Arabidopsis thaliana: one gene and its partners. The protein of the gene in region 1 interacts with the protein of each later gene in a biochemical or structural test. Each region holds a gene or a part of one and is shown in the gene's direction. Other genes may lie near its edges.

Region 1 (5,380 bases):
ATTATATCATGTTCGACGATCTATCGAAAGTGTACACCAATTGATGATTCTCTATTTCTCTAAATCTAAGAATAACTCGAATTGGTCACATACAAATTTGGATCAGGTAACAGATATATTTTTATTTCATGCAGTTAGGAAATAACATATGGGAAATTTATATCTTACGTTCCACATTGTTCCCGAATCCCGACTAATGTCCCTCTCTTTCAACAAGGTGATAGTAAGATCTTCATTTAATCAACCCGACTCTCTACTTAAAAAATTTCAACCATTTTCTCTAAGAAGTCAGAACACTCCATCATCCCCATTCTAAGCTCAACATAACAACATAACAAGAAAACTGTCATCTTTGTTATCTCATTTCTCGAAGTAAGGGGGGAAATCTCTATATTTATCCCACTAATTATTCATTACTTAGTGGGATATTGTTGTTTTCTAGTGGCGTCACCCCCAAAGTCGACATGAAATATGATATCACGAATCACCTAGCCAAAACTTAGTGTAACATCTTCTCATAATTTTCTTATAGTAAACATGTTCAAAAGTCGACTCACAACCACCAGACAATGGTTTGGTTGTTTTCTGTTTGTTGAATCGTTCATTGACGAGTTCACCCAATACAGATGTCTCAGAAAATTATATTCAAAAGTTATTTTGGTTGTTATTTACAAAAAATGGTATACTAGATCCCAAAATTATTTTACTATTTATTGTTGGTAAAATACTCTTTAGTTTAATATGGTTTTAATAAGAAAAATCAACCGGAGTATCATTAATCTGAACGTATAAAGACATATCATTGAGTTTATCACAAGACAACGTAAATCTACAAGAACACAATAACATAAGTTTAGTGTTTTGTTAGTAAGAATTTGTCTTCGCAAGATAGAATTTTAGAAGTATATATATATATATATATATATACTATTTTATCTTAATTCTTTTTGTTTTATTTTTGGTTTTTAGGTAAGGGTTAGGAGTAATGGGACCATATTGGTGGCATGCTAAATTATTGTGATAAATTTATGCATGGAGGAAAAGATGCCAAATGATTTATGTTATTCACTCATACTCACCTAATGACCTAATCCTTGAATTATTGTTCGAACTTTAAAAATAAAATTTTAATATTGTAAATTAAACAAACAATATAACGTTGTTAGCATGTGTTTATCGTGAAATGTGAATGTAACTAAAAATATTATAAAGGAGTTCTTCCTTTCTTAAAGCATATGCTAATAATAGCGTTTGGTCAAATTAATAAATTATTAGTTTATTTAGTCGTCAACAAATTAATTAGTTAAGCAGACAAGAATCGTTTTTGGAGATAGAGATTCTCACTTGCATTTCACTCTCTTGCAATTTAACATATTAAGACAAACACAAATTTTTGCTTTAGTGAATTATTAGCAACGACTCACGTTATATAGATATGCAAATCTCAAAATTAATTAAGCTAAGACACAGTATTTGATAATTGAGATTACAAATCTTAAATTTTGATTTTTAATATTTTAAAATAACATTATAAAATAAGTAATTAATCTGTTATAAAAAATATATTCTAAAAGTTGACAAAACGACAAATATAAATCGAAAAAATAGGTGAAAAGTTATAGTAAAGTGTTTTTCCACTGAGCTCACAGTTCACTCTTTGGTACAAAAGAAACAATCAGTTAAAATCTAAGTCAATCATTAAAGAGCGTGTGATACACGTGCGACCAAACAGCCGTACGATCTCACTCACTTCCGGTCTTAATTCTTACCGCGTCGATCCAACAGTCGATGGGGTTAAATCGGGATGTGAGTTCATCGAAGCTTCTCTCTCTCTTACAACCATCCACGTTTCCCAATGAAATCTCGCCACGTAATATCCCTAACAACAAATTTACACATTCACCCTCAAGATCAGTTACACATATAATAATCGCAGACGCTCTCCATTTTTCTCCACTACGAAGACTTTCTCCTATCTCTCTCTCTCTCATTAAAAACGTGTTTTTTTTTACCGGTCACCGGTTTATGGAATGACTGATTACCGGCTACAACCAACGATGAATCTTTGGACCACCGACGACAACGCTTCTATGATGGAAGCTTTCATGAGCTCTTCCGATATCTCAACTTTATGGCCTCCGGCGTCGACGACAACCACGACGGCGACGACTGAAACAACTCCGACGCCGGCGATGGAGATTCCGGCACAGGCGGGATTTAATCAAGAGACTCTTCAGCAACGTTTACAAGCTTTGATTGAAGGAACACACGAAGGTTGGACCTACGCTATATTCTGGCAACCGTCGTATGATTTCTCCGGCGCCTCCGTGCTCGGATGGGGAGATGGTTATTACAAAGGTGAAGAAGATAAAGCAAACCCGAGACGGAGATCGAGTTCGCCGCCGTTTTCTACTCCGGCGGATCAGGAGTACAGGAAAAAAGTGTTGAGAGAGCTTAACTCGTTGATCTCCGGTGGTGTTGCTCCGTCGGATGACGCTGTTGATGAGGAGGTGACGGATACGGAATGGTTTTTCTTGGTTTCGATGACGCAGAGCTTCGCTTGCGGTGCGGGATTAGCTGGTAAAGCGTTTGCAACGGGTAACGCGGTTTGGGTTTCCGGGTCAGATCAATTATCCGGGTCGGGTTGTGAACGGGCTAAGCAAGGAGGAGTGTTTGGGATGCATACTATTGCGTGTATTCCTTCGGCGAACGGAGTTGTGGAAGTCGGGTCAACGGAGCCGATCCGACAGAGTTCGGACCTTATTAACAAGGTTCGAATTCTTTTCAATTTCGACGGCGGAGCTGGAGATTTATCGGGTCTTAATTGGAATCTTGACCCGGATCAAGGTGAGAACGACCCGTCTATGTGGATTAATGACCCGATTGGAACACCTGGATCTAACGAACCGGGTAACGGAGCTCCAAGTTCTAGCTCCCAGCTTTTTTCAAAGTCTATTCAGTTTGAGAACGGTAGCTCAAGCACAATAACCGAAAACCCGAATCTGGATCCGACTCCGAGTCCGGTTCATTCTCAGACCCAGAATCCGAAATTCAATAACACTTTCTCCCGAGAACTTAATTTTTCGACGTCAAGTTCTACTTTAGTGAAACCAAGATCCGGCGAGATATTAAACTTCGGCGATGAAGGTAAACGAAGCTCCGGAAACCCGGATCCAAGTTCTTATTCGGGTCAAACACAATTCGAAAACAAAAGAAAGAGGTCGATGGTTTTGAACGAAGATAAAGTTCTATCATTCGGAGATAAAACCGCCGGAGAATCAGATCACTCCGATCTAGAAGCTTCCGTCGTGAAAGAAGTAGCAGTAGAGAAACGTCCAAAGAAACGAGGAAGAAAGCCAGCAAACGGTAGAGAAGAGCCACTAAACCACGTCGAAGCAGAGAGACAAAGACGCGAGAAACTAAACCAAAGATTCTACGCGTTACGAGCGGTTGTACCAAACGTTTCAAAAATGGATAAAGCTTCGTTACTCGGTGACGCAATCGCTTACATCAACGAGCTTAAATCCAAAGTAGTCAAAACAGAGTCAGAGAAACTCCAAATCAAGAACCAGCTCGAGGAAGTGAAACTCGAGCTCGCCGGAAGAAAAGCGAGTGCTAGTGGAGGAGATATGTCGTCTTCGTGTTCTTCGATTAAACCGGTGGGGATGGAGATTGAAGTGAAGATAATTGGTTGGGACGCAATGATTAGAGTTGAATCTAGTAAGAGGAATCATCCGGCGGCGAGGTTGATGTCGGCGTTGATGGATTTGGAGTTGGAAGTGAATCACGCGAGTATGTCGGTGGTTAACGATTTGATGATTCAACAAGCGACGGTGAAGATGGGTTTTAGGATCTATACGCAAGAACAGCTCAGAGCAAGTTTGATTTCAAAAATCGGTTAAAAGGGTGTGTTTTGGGAAGTTTAGAAAGTTATGGGGTCAAATCATAATTAATTCGTTTTAGTGGCTTCAGTAATTTTGTAGATTTTAGTTTTGTAAGAAAAAAATCTTAAAATAGAGCGACAAGTTTCTTCTTTTGCTCTATGTTTGAGTCTGTATCGTTTTATTGTTGTATCTCCTCAATGAGTAAACTTGTATATATTGATATGAGTAATATGAGTTAGTTACTGAAAAAGTTAATATTTCTACACAATTTCATATGATAAAAAAGAAAAAGAAATCGAGTATAAATGGTCTAAAATAAGAGACTAATGGTCATGATCACTGATTTTGTACATATGGTCAAAAATGTCTCTCCTAACACATCAAACTTAGGAAGAGAGACAAATCTTAAGTAAGTTAAGTCGAGAGGGAGACCATATGCACAGTTTTCTTAAGTCAGTGTGATAATGTTTCCTCTTGTCTAATCAATAAGACACAACACACATAAACCTTAGTATAATACTACATGGATCTTCGAATACACAGACAGAGTCACAGACAAGAAAAAGCAAATCACTTGCTTTTGTCTTGATCATTTCCAATATCTACAAAAATAGAAATCTTGAAGAGATTATTGAATCTGAAATCTGCTTTGTTTGTGCATTCTCTTCCTCGATCACCTCGCAAGATCCTCTAGCAACCTGACCAATCCTCAAGAATCAAGTTTTCTTCTTTCTAGCTTCAGCTTTCCAATCTCGACGATGCGGCCTTATCTTCCGTTTAACCGACTCACAAGAACTATCTTGAGCCTTGTTCATAATCAAATGAGCTCTTCTAGCTTCTTTTTTCCAATTTCTATCGCAATAAACCCGCCGCACAAAGTTCTCAACATAACCACTAGGTCCATTAAACTCTAGTCCCTCGTCTTCTTCTTCTTCTTCTTCTTGTTTTCCCATTGTCTCAAACGAAAGATTATCATCGTTACCCGCTTCTTCTTCCCGCATCCGTTTCCTGGCTCGATACCTACGTTGTCTTTCTCTGTTCTTCATTCGACGGATCATGACTTCATCTTTGTCTATCAACCCTTCTTTCTCATCAATGCTCAAACCACCATTGCTCATCTTTCCTTCAATTCCAATTACTCAAAACACTGATAAAACAAACCAAATTCTATTATAAGGTAATGCATTTAAAGGAAAGAATCTAAAGCTCTATAAAACCCTAGAAGCTTCTTAATTCAAAAGCTGAAGACACAAAACACACACAAATGTAATTTTGCAACTAGAGGAGGACCAAATTAGAGATTCGTTAATAGCAATCAACCAGAAATGTAAGACTTCCAAAGAATCAAAATTAGCTAATCGATACAACTAAAAATGTTATTTTGCTTTGCTTTCAAGTTGAGAAAACAGAGAAGTTCGATACTCAAAGAACCTGAATGATTAATTCGATGATTAGGTTAAGAGGCTAAAACCCATATATTACCAATCTCAGTGATT
Region 2 (4,119 bases), 5.2 Mb from region 1:
TATAATATATTAGACATTACAAGTCTCTACAATGTTGGTTTATCATTAACAAGGACTAAACAATATACTATAATCATACAATAAATTAAGAGTCGTAAATTAATGGTAAACTCAACTAATGCATGAATAGTTGTAAAAGTATATATATTTGGACACGTTACTCAACTTGCATCGCGGATCTGTATTCCTTCCCAACCACTACGTACACGCATTTCCCACGAGTTTGACGATCTTTCTCGTTTAATCTAATCATATCTACTTTTATAGGCTCCATAGCCCACATTTCATATCTTATAGTACGTTCCAACTTCTAACCAATAAACTCAAAACTAGTTGAGTTTTTTAATTAGTGAAATATATCTTGAATTTTATATATCTAATCTTGCACCAATAAAGTTTCTGTCAATTATGTAAAAGAAAGACTCGTTGTATCAGTATGGGACGACTTTTTCTTCTGAATTGTGTCGATCGAGTCCATATTATAATACTTTGTCACGTACTTTGTTTACTGATTAATTTAATATAATTGTGTCGCATTATCCAAGTCTAATTAAACATTAATGTGTATATTATACACCAAGTTACAATTACAGATCTATCTCTTAGTCGTTTTATTATGTATAGCCTACAATGAAACATGACATCAACGTATAGGTGAAGCTGAAGCCTATACATAAAAGTAAGGTTTTGGAGTTTGTTTCATGTTTTAAGGTTTTAGATATTTTGTGATCGATTTGCATGTATAGGGTTCCAAATATCTGAGCTTTGGCTTGGTCTACTTTGAGAAAGCAGCTGTAGAGATCAACTTTAGCCGTTTAGGTGATAAAATCACATTAGAACTCTATAGGTCGCGTAGCAGCGTATAAGAGCCCTGGATACTGAAATACAAGAATCTCTCCACGCGTAGAAAAACGAACCAACCATGATAAAACACGTGTCATATCGAATAGGTACAGACAACGTGCACTTGCCAACCTTCTTTCCTTGTAGTTTCCTTCTTCTTTGCTTCTTTTTTTCGTTAAATATTGATATTGTTCAAAAAACGCATAACAACAAAAACGTGGTCGACGGAACATGTGGGTGGTGGAGTTGTCTTCTTTAGGGGACCACTCACTAACGCCGTTTACTTTCCCGCTTGGACGATAACACCCTTGATATATGGATTAGTCTCTCTTTTGCTTTTGGATATCTTAATATATTTTAATATGTCCATTTTTATATTGACGACCATTTAATTAGGTCTCAGTTTGTATTATTGATTTTTAGGTGCCAAGCATTACTTTCGTTACGTGTAATCTTTTGATTATTCAATCAAATTATCATATGGTTCATGGCATTTTATCAATTGTGACGGTCGACATGTGGGTTGACTTTGATGTATGACTTTTAGCTTGTGCCTCATTTTTATTCCAACTCGACAACTAGCAGACTTTATATTTTAATTTATTTCTTTCTAGATATTAGACAATTCTTAGCTTGTCTCTCTGCATGAATCACGCGTTAATATACTTATAATAGTAAGTTTTAAAATGTTTCGAGTATAATATCATATTAGATTTCAATTATAATTGTAAGATTATTTAGTCTCAATGAAGAGCATTTAAAAATGTGAAAGAGTTTAGGCTTTGACTGTTGACTGGTTCTAACGCGTTTTGCTTCTTATTTATACAAAAAGATTTTATTTTATTTTAATTAGAAATATTAAGTACTTTTTAGACGTGTTTAGGTTGATTAATTTCTTGTTAACATATCCGATAAAAAAAAACAGCACCAAAATCACGACGAGAATTATGCCTACGTTACGTTGATAATAAAGATTAGAGATAAAATGTAACCTCTCTTCTCTTTACATCATTACATGCATCTTGTGTTTTATTTGACTTTATTCTTACCAACAAACAACCAATGGATAAATTAGGCTCGTGAAGGAGGGCAAACTCGTAATTTCAAAGAAACGGAAAGCGTCAGAACGTGGAGAACAGTGAACCGAGACACATTCCCGATTTTTCTAAAGAAACAAAATAAAACACGTGTTTTTTATACCATAAGTAAAGTAGTAGTATTTATTAAACTATTAATATATAGCTTTGTTATATTGGAGGTAGGAAGAAGAACTCTGCAACCAAACCAACCAACCCCAAAGCCAAACAAAGTTTTATAGAGACCTTCCATTTCTCCCTCTCGTGACAAACGCAATTTGCAGAGAAGCAACAGCAACAACAAGAAGAAGAAGAAAAAGATTTGAGATTACTTTGTATCGATTTAGCTATTCGAGAAACTCTTGCCGTTTGAAAGTTTTAATTGTTAAAGATGTCGAGTTCTATGGAATGTTCTGAGTTCGTCGGTAGCCGGAGATTTACTGGGAAGAAGCCTAGCTTCTCACAGACGTGTAGTCGATTGAGTCAGTATCTAAAAGAGAACGGTAGCTTTGGAGATCTGAGCTTAGGAATGGCATGCAAGCCTGATGTCAATGGTAAGAAACCTTCTCTTTCTCCTAGATCCACTTCTTTTTTCGTTTTCTCTGTTTTTTATTTCTTGAATCTTGATCTTGAAAACTTTTCAAGAAAATTTTGAATCGATTTCAAAGAAATTAGGGAGAGTTAGTTTGCTAAATTTTGACATAGAAAATGATTGGAGAGAGTTCTAACTTTTGGATCATATATATTTGCAGGAACTTTAGGCAACTCACGTCAGCCGACAACAACCATGAGTTTATTCCCTTGTGAAGCTTCTAACATGGATTCCATGGTTCAAGATGTTAAACCGACGAATCTGTTTCCTAGGCAACCAAGCTTTTCTTCCTCATCTTCCTCTCTTCCAAAGGAAGATGTTTTGAAAATGACACAGACTACCAGATCTGTGAAACCAGAGTCTCAAACTGCACCATTGACTATATTCTACGCCGGGCAAGTGATTGTATTCAATGACTTTTCTGCTGAGAAAGCCAAAGAAGTGATCAACTTGGCGAGCAAAGGCACCGCTAATAGCTTAGCCAAGAATCAAACCGATATCAGAAGCAACATCGCTACTATCGCAAACCAAGTTCCTCATCCAAGAAAAACCACAACACAAGAGCCAATCCAATCCTCCCCAACACCATTGACAGAACTTCCTATTGCTAGAAGAGCTTCACTTCACCGGTTCTTGGAGAAGAGAAAGGACAGAGTTACGTCAAAGGCACCATACCAATTATGCGATCCAGCCAAAGCGTCTTCAAACCCTCAAACCACAGGCAACATGTCGTGGCTCGGTTTAGCAGCTGAAATATGAATGCTAACCACCCTCAAGCCGTACCAAGAAATTCTTTTGACGACGTTGCTTCAAGACAAGATATAAAAGCTCCTATCTTCATGCTTTTTGATTTAAGATACAAACTACTCAATGATTAGGAAACTTCATATATTTGTATGTATTGATTAGTGATCAATTATTGTTAGTATTCGTTATAGTCTGTTTTTCTACTAGTTATTGTCGCCTGTCTAAATCCCCTTGCTATGGGTTATCTCAAAATTAGTTTCGTATGTAACTAATTTTGTAAGAACAATAATTTTTGTTGACGAACCATACTATCAAATACTCTAAATTATATCTTGATAAATCTACCTATCAGGTAAGTAGGTGTGTTTTGTTTTCATTTGTTTACTTGTTACCTACTAATCTCATATTTTATGATTCAAATTCAAACCCGTGAATTATGAGTTAGTAGGTAGGTTTAACAACATGTCAACAACTAAAGAACAACGTGACATCTAAACCAAACCAAAACTATAGAGAGTTCAGAGTAGTCGTAGTCTCGTAGAGATCATTCATATAAATAAATCGCATAAACACCAAAATCAACTCTTAATTCTTTCCTAATCATCATTAATCTCTAATGGATTCCGAAATCGCATTCGACTATTCTCCGAGGTTTCGTATATTCAAGAACGGTGGCATCGAACGCCTCGTACCCGAAACATTCGTCCCACCGTCACTAAATCCCGAAAACGGCGTCGTATCTAAAGATGCCGTCTATTCACCGGAGAAAAACCTCTCTCTCCGCATTTACCTCCCTCAAAATTCCGTCTATGAAACCGGCGAGAAGAAAATCCCACTACTCGTCTACTTTCATGGCGGAGG
Region 3 (4,650 bases), about 15 Mb from region 1:
ACCTCAGATGAAAATTTAAATATTAGACTGATCTTAACAATTAGTCTAATGGTTTATATATTTGTGTACGACGCTAAATTTTTAAACCCATAAAATTGATAGTGTTGACCATAAATAAAAATATGAACATTATACTTGATGGAGAAAACAAATTTATTAAAAACTTTAGAGGTGGATGGATAGTTTTAAAATTATATATATATATATTTGGCAGAAGGAGAGAAGGGCAATAAGGATGATAATGGAGTGGGAAAAACATTGGCGATAATAATAGGAATCGTCACCTTAATCATCTTGCTCGTTGTGTTTCTCGCTTTTGTTGGAAAGTGTTGTAGAAAATTACAAGGTATTTTTGATATTGATTTACGTTTTTTTTTCAGTTCTTTTATCGATCATAAAATCTAAATTACTATGTATATGCCTTTTGCAGATGAGAAATGGTGTAAATGAAAGGACAAAGTGGGAAAGATATCAATCAACAACTCGAGTCGAGCCACACTGTTAGTTGTATTTTTGTAATTTTTTTTGTTCTCCCTCATAAGATGTACGTAGTTATAGTATATTGATAATTTGATATAGTATTGATATGATTGTATCTCCGAATCGATTTTTGTATAATTGTCGGACTTATATAGGCCAAAGCGATATCTTCTTCTTTGATGTGAATGAAACCTTCGATTTCTTATCTTCTATAAATGCCATGTTTTTCGTCTATGCAAAAAATAACAGTAATTAAAAGGGTTTGAGCTTCTTTTATCAATACACAAACAAGTTAAAATAAATGAACGTGTCGAGAATAATGGAACATATTAAACCGTAAATCAGGATGGAGATCCAAAAAATGATAACTGTGTTCGTCCTATTGCGAATGTCTGAACGAATCTTTTCATCGTATTCATCATTATTTATTCTCATATTGTCTAAAGAACTCAATTGAAGACTTGGCCTAATGTCCTTTAATCATTAAAAATGATAATTTAAAATTGTAAGCTGACTACCAAATCGTTTTAGGACTTTGAAAGACCAACTAACGTCTAATTCTTTTCCATATTTTTTTTAATTTTCTGAAATTCTTAATGTACTACCGATGATTGCTTCATAACCAGGTTCTTCTTTTAATTTGTACATGAGTAACATGACTAATAAATGACTTGCGTCTGTTTGAAACATTATATGAATAAGAAAAATTGGTCTCAAATAACAACATGATGTATCAAAGATTCAAAAATTTCACGTGTTATGAAATGAGCTTAGCAAAAGTTCACTCAAGTTCTTGGAGGTCTAGTTTGGAATGCAATTTAGCCAAATCTGTACAGTTATACTGAACAGATTTAATGTAAGTCGGGCCGTAAACAAAATTATGGGCCTTAGATAAGCAAATCAAACTTCTTTCAGCCCATTGAGCATTCTCGTGATTTGGTTATTGTATATCCAATACGTGACATTACTTTTGCCTCAACGAAAGAGTCTTGGCTTATCATTTCATTTATTATTATAGTTGAAATAATTTTCAAAGAAAAGAAAAAAATATGTGATAAATACCAAACCGTTGCATAAGAAAAGCAACCACACATTTTACATGTGTGTGTGAGTTCACGAAGAAAATATCCAATAGCCAAACTAATTAATCCACCTTTGAAAAAAAACATGCACTATTATAAACTAGAGCCACCGACGGTCGACGGATGTCTAATTGTATATGGTCCTCAGAAATGAAAAAATCAAAAGAATAAACACGTGTGAATTAACCGGTTTAACCAGTAGCACCAACCGTTTGTACCGGTCAGAAAAAAGCCCCACATGCTTTAATCAAGCAAGCCTTTAAAAACAGGAAAGGCAAAGAGTTAAATAAGCCTCTCCAAAAGTGTGTCTGTAACATTACCAAAACGAAACCTTCCTTGTGGATTCCCACTTCTTTCTTCTGTTTTCTTCTTCCTCTTCTTTAAATTGGATGTTTTGGGCAAGAAACAGAGAGAAACACGTTAATTTGAGAGTTTGTCATTGAATATTTGGTTTGCAATGGAAAGAGATTTTCTGGGTTTGAGCGACAAGCAGTATCTAAGTAATAACGTTAAGCATGAGGTTAACGATGATGCTGTCGAAGAACGAGGTTTGTGTTCTTGTCTCGAGAATCTTTTATTTTAATGTTTCAAGAAGAGATCAGTTTTCACTTTTAACATAGCCGTATAAAGTTGTTTATTTAAATATAATTTTTCAGATTCCAAAACTTGAAAAAAAAAAGATTCCATTAAATCTTTTATAAAAATGAGATTGGATAGATTAGTCAAATTGACGACCATAAAAAATGATACTTATAGGGTTAAGTACGAAGGCAGCTAGAGAATGGGGGAAGTCAAAGGTTTTTGCTACTTCAAGTTTCATGCCTTCTTCAGATTTCCAGGTTGGTTCATCTTAAAATTTAACTTACTCTGTATCAGTTTCAGATGTTATGGCTAATCTAATGGTTCTATAAGCTACCGCATAATCATGGTCGTCTTTTAGCATGTGCAAGAGGAGTACTCAATTATGGTCTTGATTAAAAAGAAGAATTTACTTTCAAATTATGTTAAACACATCAATCACATATTTATGAGAAAAGTTGTTTTCGTAAGAGATAGCCACCGGAAAATGGTCGGATAAATGGCCGAACTTTATCATTTTTGTGTATGTGGCCAATCATTAACCAGGGAAAAAAAATTGTTGGATAAGTGCTAGTTAAGAGCTGGTAGGGTCGGTCGTCTGCCAGCCGCAAAGTTAGGGAAAAAATAATTTAATATTTTGTGGCGTTTGGTGTTTGGCGTTTGGATCACGTTTATTTCTTGGCATTTTTCTAAATTTAGAATGTACAAAAAATTTAAAGACGTTGACGATTAAAATTTGAATTTAACAAATTAGGAGGCTAAGGCGTTTCCGGGTGCATACCAGTGGGGATCAGTTTCTGCGGCCAATGTTTTCCGCAGATGCCAATTTGGTGGTGCGTTTCAAAACGCGACGCCGCTTTTACTAGGCGGTTCAGTTCCTTTACCAACTCATCCTTCTCTTGTTCCACGGTAATTTCCATATTATGATGCAAAAACATTCAACAATTTTTTTGCTCTTTTCATATTTTGATTTGGTTATGTGGGTTTGTGGAAACAGAGTGGCTTCCTCCGGATCATCTCCTCAGCTCACAATCTTTTATGGCGGAACTATAAGCGTCTTTAATGACATATCTCCCGATAAGGTATATATAATCAAGATTCATACAAATAACATTTACATAACATTTACATGTTCTAAAACGGACTATTCATGATATGTGAGTAGGCTCAAGCCATCATGTTATGCGCCGGGAACGGTTTGAAAGGTGAAACTGGAGATAGCAAACCGGTTCGAGAAGCTGAAAGAATGTATGGAAAACAAATCCATAACACTGCTGCTACCTCATCAAGCTCTGCCACTCACACTGATAATTTCTCAAGGTGTAGGGACACACCCGTTGCTGCGACTAATGCAATGAGCATGATCGAATCATTCAATGCAGCTCCTCGTAACATGATTCCTTCAGGTATGTGTGTCTAATATCAACATCAAAACAAAATATAATCAAGATTTTTGCTTCCTCAAATCATATGTCTAAACTCGAAAATTGCTTTTTTCCAGTCCCTCAAGCTCGGAAAGCATCCTTGGCTCGGTTCTTGGAGAAGCGCAAAGAGAGGTTTGATTTTGTATTTTTTTTCTTTATAGAAAATTTTGAGGTTTTTCAATTGAATCTAAAAGAATTGATGTTGTTGGTGCAGGCTTATGAGTGCAATGCCATACAAGAAGATGCTTCTTGATTTGTCGACCGGAGAATCCAGTGGAATGAATTACTCTTCTACTTCTCCTACATAAAACCTACACTTTTTTTTTTTTTTTTTACAATGGTAATTTGTAATTGTAATCATTAGATTATGATTATATAGTTACCATTTATATTCTTACGAGCAGGAGAAGACGTTAGGGCGTCTCTGTATTTGATCATTGTTTGTAATGCTTTGGTCTGTTTATTGTAGGATTACATTATAACTTTAAGAACTAACAGATATATGTTTGTCATGGACTCATGTCTGTCAAGAATTTAATATCAAATAAAATTCACTATAATTTTTTTTTTGCTAATTTCACAAACACACTTCATTAACTAATTATATGAACACTTAATTGATTTATACCAAAATCATATTGAATGCATCGCTAAAGAGAATAGTACTAGTTTTGTATCGCCAGCTTTCGTTGTTAACAAGTCCACTTTACTATTATTCTCTCGAGTTTTTTTTTGGTATCAATGTAAAGAAAATAAGAAGGTGAAAATTCTCTTGAGGTTGATGATTGTGTAAAATACCTAAGATGATATATTACAAAAAATGATATGTTTTCAAAGGAAAATATTCATGTTTTAAATAGCTTTTTATGAAAGTCACGAGTTCAAAATTTGATGTTAAGGAGAATAAATACTACTAGTTTATGTGCTACAGTAAACAAAAAAAAAATTGTGAACCAAAAGAGCTCACATGTTGATTACGAAAACAGAGAGATTCTCTTCACAAGCGGAAAGATCTTATAGATATTATTATTTAGAGGCAGATAAATAATTGTAGGAAAGTAATAATGGTGAAGGAGATGCACATA
Region 4 (5,476 bases), on another chromosome or scaffold:
TTTGCCATTATTTACTCTCATTCGATTTTAATACAAAATTATTTAAGTTGTTGTTGTAAACAGACGTTGCTGTTGCTGTTGAGTTTGATTTAGAATAGTTAAGTTTGGTTTTGGTTGGAGAAAAGTTTTCGTTGTTAAGCCAACTCGTGATCATTTAATCTGTTCTTTTTTTGGTAGGGGGTGATCATTGAATCTTTTGTTTTGAGTTTTGTATGTCTATATAGAGTCTAATACCATTAAAACAAAAAAAATGTCGTGGTAACCAGAATTAAATGATGTAAAAACAGAAAACAAGAATTAAATGTCGGATGTAAAAACAGAATTAAATTTCGGATGTTTTATGTGGATCATAGCGTGAGAGATGCGTTTATGGCATCTTTTGATATAATCTTCGCTTTGTAGGTCCACTTTTGATCTGATCTGATCTATTATCTATATGGAATGTTGTGTATATAATAAACTGCAGTGTAGTATTTTCTTAATAATGTGATATTAATATCTAAATTCTAGGCTGGAGAAAATGACGTGTGCTGCATATCCCCCAGACTCGAAATAACGATGTTATCGTGGGAGATGATCGTCAATTTTTTTTTTGTTTAGAGATCGTCAAGTTGTTGTGATCATTGACTCCTTTCCATTTTTTCTATAGATTTGAATTTTAAATATTCATTTTCATAAAAAAATGAAAACTTTATTATTATATTTGTGAGATAATTAGATATGTTTTAAAACATTAGTAAATTTAGTATAGTATTAGTTTTTACTAAATTAAGAAGAAAGTGACGCACGAAATGGCGTAATTTCCTCCCCCGGACCACATGCATCTTATAAATACACAAAAACGATGTCAACGAGTGATTTTAGTAATATGTACATTAAAGTAATATTTTCTTTTTGGTACCAATAATTACCTTAATTAATACAAGTATAGTTTAAGCAACAAGCAACATTCTTTAATAATTCGCGAAAAATATTAATAAAAGTACAATGACAGAAAAAATAATTAAAAATTGGATTAAAAAAAATAATATTAGAGTGATGACATAATCACATGAGGATTTAGATTTAGCTTAATAATGTTTAGTTGTGGAACTAAATTTCCGCAACAATTATTTTGTTGTATTTAAATCATTTTATGAAAGTCTAATCTTTACAATTACTTTATAGTACCATCCGATTAATCAAAGATTAAAAATATAGTACTAAAATACAAATTAATATATTTTGCCAAAAAAATGCAACGTGCAAATGTTTATCTTGGTCAAGAGAACGTGCACGAAAGTAGTGTAACTAATTTTACTATTTTAGATTGAGCGGTGAGACAAAAAGGGGGTTAGACTCACGCGCTACACTTAGCGCGTCAGCCGACAAAAAAAAGTGTTGTCATTGAATAAAAAAATAAATTAAAACTGCCGCTTCGCATCTCGTGAATCATTCACGTTAAAATAGCGCACGTGCCTCGCCACGCGTCTCACCACAAAAAGAAACGCCACACACTGCACGACGATGCACGTGCCTTTTTAACCGACTATATCCGGTGACGTAACCGGGACAACCTGTAGCTGGTTTTTGCGCCAATAGGATATGAGAAAAAAGAATCTTTTTTTTCTTGTTATAGTTATAAATTAATGGTACGATTCACATGTCGCATGCGATTTGTTAATAAAACTAGAAATTGCGGTGAATTAACTTCATTCCACGTTTTTTCATTTTCTCCCTCAAAAGTCTCTGTTTTTTTTCCTTTTTCCGGCGAAGCTCTATTTAGCTTGATTCCGGCGTTTAACACGCGTTTTAATCGAAACAGACATTTGAGATCGAATTAATTTTGTAGCGGGCTGTGTCTTTATTATAGATGGAGAGAGATTTTCTCGGGTTGGGTTCGAAAAATTCTCCGATCACTGTCAAGGAGGAAACCAGCGAAAGCTCTAGAGATTCAGGTTATTTATTACTCTTCTCAATTTTTCTGATTCTGATTGTTTTTAAATCGTAGATTTGTTTGATTGATTAGGAGTTATTAGGACTACTTGTAGTATGGAATTTGTTTTTGGATAGCTGATTTTATGGCTTGCTCGGGAACTGGAATTGTCAGTTTGTTGCTTGGAGCAGAACATTGTCCTTTGCTTTTCTCGGGAGATGTAGAATTTGGATTTGGAAAAACTAGTGTTCTTTTCCAAAGCCTTGTCTTAAACATGCTTTCGGTCGGAGAAATTAACGAGAACTAATCTCAAGCTTCTAACATAATTAAACTCGGTAAACTTTTTTTTACTAGAGTAAATTTTTTTGTTTTGTTTGAAGAGTCTTATAATTGAGAAATACTTTATTAGTTTATACTAAAAAAAAAACGAATACGTAAAATGTTGGAAAAGAGGGGATGTATAGAGACTGATACAAAAATGATAAAATAGAGACGGTTGGTAGTAGGTAGAAAGATTAAATATACTCAAAAGAGTGAGTTGGATTAGTTTATAAGATGATTAACTTCTTGATTGTGTGAGTTGGATTAGTTTATGAGATTATTAAAATATTGATTGTGTATTTGTGTTGTGTGTTGATTAAGCGGAACTTGCGTTAGAATATTGTTCAAGGTACAATGTGGAAATAATAGTTTTCTCACCACGAGGAATATAATTATTTCAACTTTGTTTTCTTATCAGCCAAAACGTGCCACACCATAAAAGTAGTGCATCAACATGTGGTGTGGTGTGGTGGGGTTAAAGTTTGAATCTCTCTTTAATTTAAACTATTAAAACAAACTTAAATTATTGGAGTTTCGTACAATGACTTTCAATCAAATGTTTTAGAATTAGACACGGTTTTCGAAAGTGGTTTTCCCTCGTTGAATTTGTCAACAGTATCAGATTCTACATTGTTGGTTACTAATCTTTTCCTTGAAGTAGGTGTTGAATTAATCCTCTGTTGTTTATGTAAGGAGATCTCGAGACATTTATGGTTAACAGTTAACACTACATGTTTGACTTTAAACTGATTATCTTTTATTCTTTTTCTTTTGTAGCTCCCAACAGAGGAATGAACTGGTCTTTCTCAAACAAAGTATCAGCTTCTTCTTCTCAGTTTCTATCCTTCAGGCCAACTCAAGAAGATAGACATAGAAAGTCTGGAAATTATCATCTTCCTCACTCTGGTTCCTTCATGCCATCATCAGTAGCTGATGTTTATGATTCAACCCGCAAAGCTCCTTACAGTTCTGTACAGGTATTTGTCATCAAAACCTATGTTAACCAAGACCCTTGTGTTTTTTTTATCCTTCGCAAGATAGCTTTAAAAGTGAGCCCTGTTTTATGAGCATATAGTAATTGGTTTTGAGTCTAGTTTAGCACAAGTTCATGGCAATTAGTTTGTGGATCTAATCTTGGTTTAATACTGATTCATTTTAAGTGTAAGCTAAGCTTCTCATTTTTGATAAGTTAGTTCATACAATGCCTCACACCTACTTTATGGCTTGTTACTCTCAGGGAGTGAGGATGTTCCCTAATTCCAATCAACACGAAGAAACTAACGCAGTTTCCATGTCGATGCCGGGTTTCCAGTCTCATCATTATGCACCAGGAGGAAGAAGCTTCATGAACAATAACAATAACTCACAACCTTTGGTAGGAGTTCCTATCATGGCACCTCCAATTTCAATCCTTCCTCCTCCAGGTTCCATTGTAGGGACTACTGATATTAGGTACCCACTAGTCATCATATCATACAGAAACTCTTTCTACATTTTCATAGTTGACTAAAGACTTATTTTTGTCAGATCTTCTTCCAAGCCAATAGGTTCACCTGCGCAGTTGACGATCTTTTATGCCGGTTCAGTTTGTGTTTACGATGACATATCTCCTGAAAAGGTATCTCAATCATTTTCTTCCATATATGCATCTCTTTTACTCGTAAGGTATGGTACTCATTTGCTTTCTTTCATTTCTCAGGCAAAGGCGATAATGTTGCTAGCTGGGAACGGTTCCTCTATGCCTCAAGTCTTTTCGCCGCCTCAAACTCATCAACAAGTGGTCCATCATACTCGTGCCTCTGTCGATTCTTCAGCTATGCCTCCTAGCTTCATGCCTACAATATCTTATCTTAGCCCTGAAGCTGGAAGTAGCACAAACGGACTCGGAGCCACAAAAGCGACAAGAGGCTTGACGTCAACATATCACAACAACCAAGCTAATGGATCCAATATTAACTGCCCAGTACCAGTTTCTTGTTCTACCAATGTAATGGCTCCAACAGGTAAAAAACAAAGTCAGAGACCTGATACTACATTCGCCATCTAACTTACTAGTATTTTCATGGATGTAACTTCATTCTCGTTCTGTTTCTTATGCAGTGGCATTACCTCTGGCTCGCAAAGCATCCCTGGCTAGGTTTTTAGAGAAACGCAAAGAAAGGTACGCAACACTTCTTTAGAATACACCATTCAATAGTTTCTTGGGCTAACTCTCTTTCTCGCTGTGGGTTTCTCAGGGTCACGAGCGTATCCCCATATTGCTTAGACAAGAAGTCATCGACAGATTGTCGCAGATCAATGTCTGAATGCATTAGTTCTTCTCTCAGCTCTGCAACCTAATTTCATCTACAGTAAGAAGGTTGCTTTAGACCACTCCACATCCATATTTGCATTTCAATGGCGGTCTTTTCAATGTCTCAGTTAATTTTTCCTCACTCGCCACACTGAGTTTCTCCTTAGCTTTATATATACGATAGTGTATACTTTGTTTACATGTTTTTTGGTGGAATGGAACTTATGAGAGCATATCAGATATGTACTTGGGAAAATTAGTAGAAACTGTTTGTTTCTTTTTTTTTAACTCTGTTCTTTTGTATATATCACTGAAGCTCGCATATGTATAATTCATGTAATGGAATTGCATCGCTTCTGTTTCCCTAAGTTATTTCTCTAATCAATTTTCTATTCAAATATGGGGATTTTTTTAATAGGATTTGCTAATTTGTACTCTGGTTAACAATAAGCTTGATACATTACCAGTTACCAACTCGAATTCACAAAAGAAGTCATCATTATATATGGAGAAAATGGAACATCTTTTAGAATTTGCTTTAATTCGTTTTGGCTAATTATTTTTCGGTCTTCGTTTTGGCTGTGAGTTTCTTTGTAACATCCTAATTTCAATATGTGGGCCATTTTGTGTTGTAGCCCATCAAGGCCCAATGTCTTATTGCACAACGAAAAGGGATGTTGCAAAAGATGATAAACCGGATATGAATTCAGTCGCGGTTAAGTTAACGCGAAGACAAAACCGGTTGGACATGTTCGGTTTTCGGCGATGATTATTTCAACGTTTTTCAGTCTAATCAAAACCAATACGAGCAGACACAGCTCCGTACGATCACAAGGATTCACTGATTTCTAAGCTTTTCATAGAAAGAAGAAGAAAAAGGCGGAATTCGATGGTGGATGCGATTCAAGTAGCTGAGCTGAGAAGATTCGTCGAGCAGTTGAAATTGA

The links.
Region 2: the proteins of MYC2 (region 1) and JAZ1 form a complex in vitro, tested with the Arabidopsis thaliana proteins (3 studies listed by BioGRID).
Region 3: the proteins of MYC2 (region 1) and TIFY7 form a complex in vitro, tested with the Arabidopsis thaliana proteins (2 studies listed by BioGRID).
Region 4: the proteins of MYC2 (region 1) and JAZ3 form a complex in vitro, tested with the Arabidopsis thaliana proteins (4 studies listed by BioGRID).

Annotation. Positions count from the first base shown.
Region 1 is NC_003070.9:11,797,564-11,802,943, reverse strand, and holds MYC2 (Basic helix-loop-helix (bHLH) DNA-binding family protein), read left to right. Parts: upstream 1-1,536; 5' UTR 1,537-2,030; coding exon 2,031-3,902; 3' UTR 3,903-4,600; downstream 4,601-5,380. Other genes in the region: AT1G32630 (FAM50A-like protein), read right to left, coding at 4,601-5,002.
Region 2 is NC_003070.9:6,620,002-6,624,120, forward strand, and holds JAZ1 (jasmonate-zim-domain protein 1), read left to right. Parts: upstream 1-1,775; 5' UTR 1,776-1,830; intron 1,831-1,918; 5' UTR 1,919-2,310; coding exon 2,311-2,473; exon of another isoform or gene 2,474-2,671; coding exon 2,672-3,270; 3' UTR 3,271-3,619; downstream 3,620-4,119. Other genes in the region: AT1G19190 (alpha/beta-Hydrolases superfamily protein), read left to right, coding at 3,875-4,119.
Region 3 is NC_003070.9:26,652,932-26,657,581, forward strand, and holds TIFY7 (TIFY domain/Divergent CCT motif family protein), read left to right. Parts: upstream 1-1,836; 5' UTR 1,837-2,019; coding exon 2,020-2,110; intron 2,111-2,318; coding exon 2,319-2,401; intron 2,402-2,895; coding exon 2,896-3,050; intron 3,051-3,138; coding exon 3,139-3,223; intron 3,224-3,306; coding exon 3,307-3,547; intron 3,548-3,642; coding exon 3,643-3,818; coding exon of another isoform or gene 3,819-3,873; 3' UTR 3,874-4,133; downstream 4,134-4,650. Other genes in the region: HWI1 (Receptor-like protein kinase-related family protein), read left to right, coding at 215-346, 431-450. UniProt on the Arabidopsis thaliana protein: Repressor of jasmonate responses. Jasmonoyl-isoleucine (JA-Ile) specifically promotes COI1-TIFY7/JAZ9 interaction. Interacts with and suppresses RHD6 and RSL1 transcription factor activities to negatively regulate jasmonate-stimulated root hair development.
Region 4 is NC_003074.8:6,118,116-6,123,591, forward strand, and holds JAZ3 (jasmonate-zim-domain protein 3), read left to right. Parts: upstream 1-1,591; 5' UTR 1,592-1,852; coding exon 1,853-1,937; exon of another isoform or gene 1,938-2,967; coding exon of another isoform or gene 2,968-3,013; coding exon 3,014-3,213; intron 3,214-3,473; coding exon 3,474-3,688; intron 3,689-3,763; coding exon 3,764-3,854; intron 3,855-3,935; coding exon 3,936-4,239; intron 4,240-4,336; coding exon 4,337-4,397; intron 4,398-4,473; coding exon 4,474-4,576; 3' UTR 4,577-4,929; downstream 4,930-5,476. Other genes in the region: TDX (tetraticopeptide domain-containing thioredoxin), read left to right, coding at 5,419-5,476. UniProt on the Arabidopsis thaliana protein: Repressor of jasmonate responses. Jasmonoyl-isoleucine (JA-Ile) specifically promotes COI1-TIFY6B/JAZ3 interaction. Acts as a negative regulator of MYC2 function. Feed-back regulated by MYC2.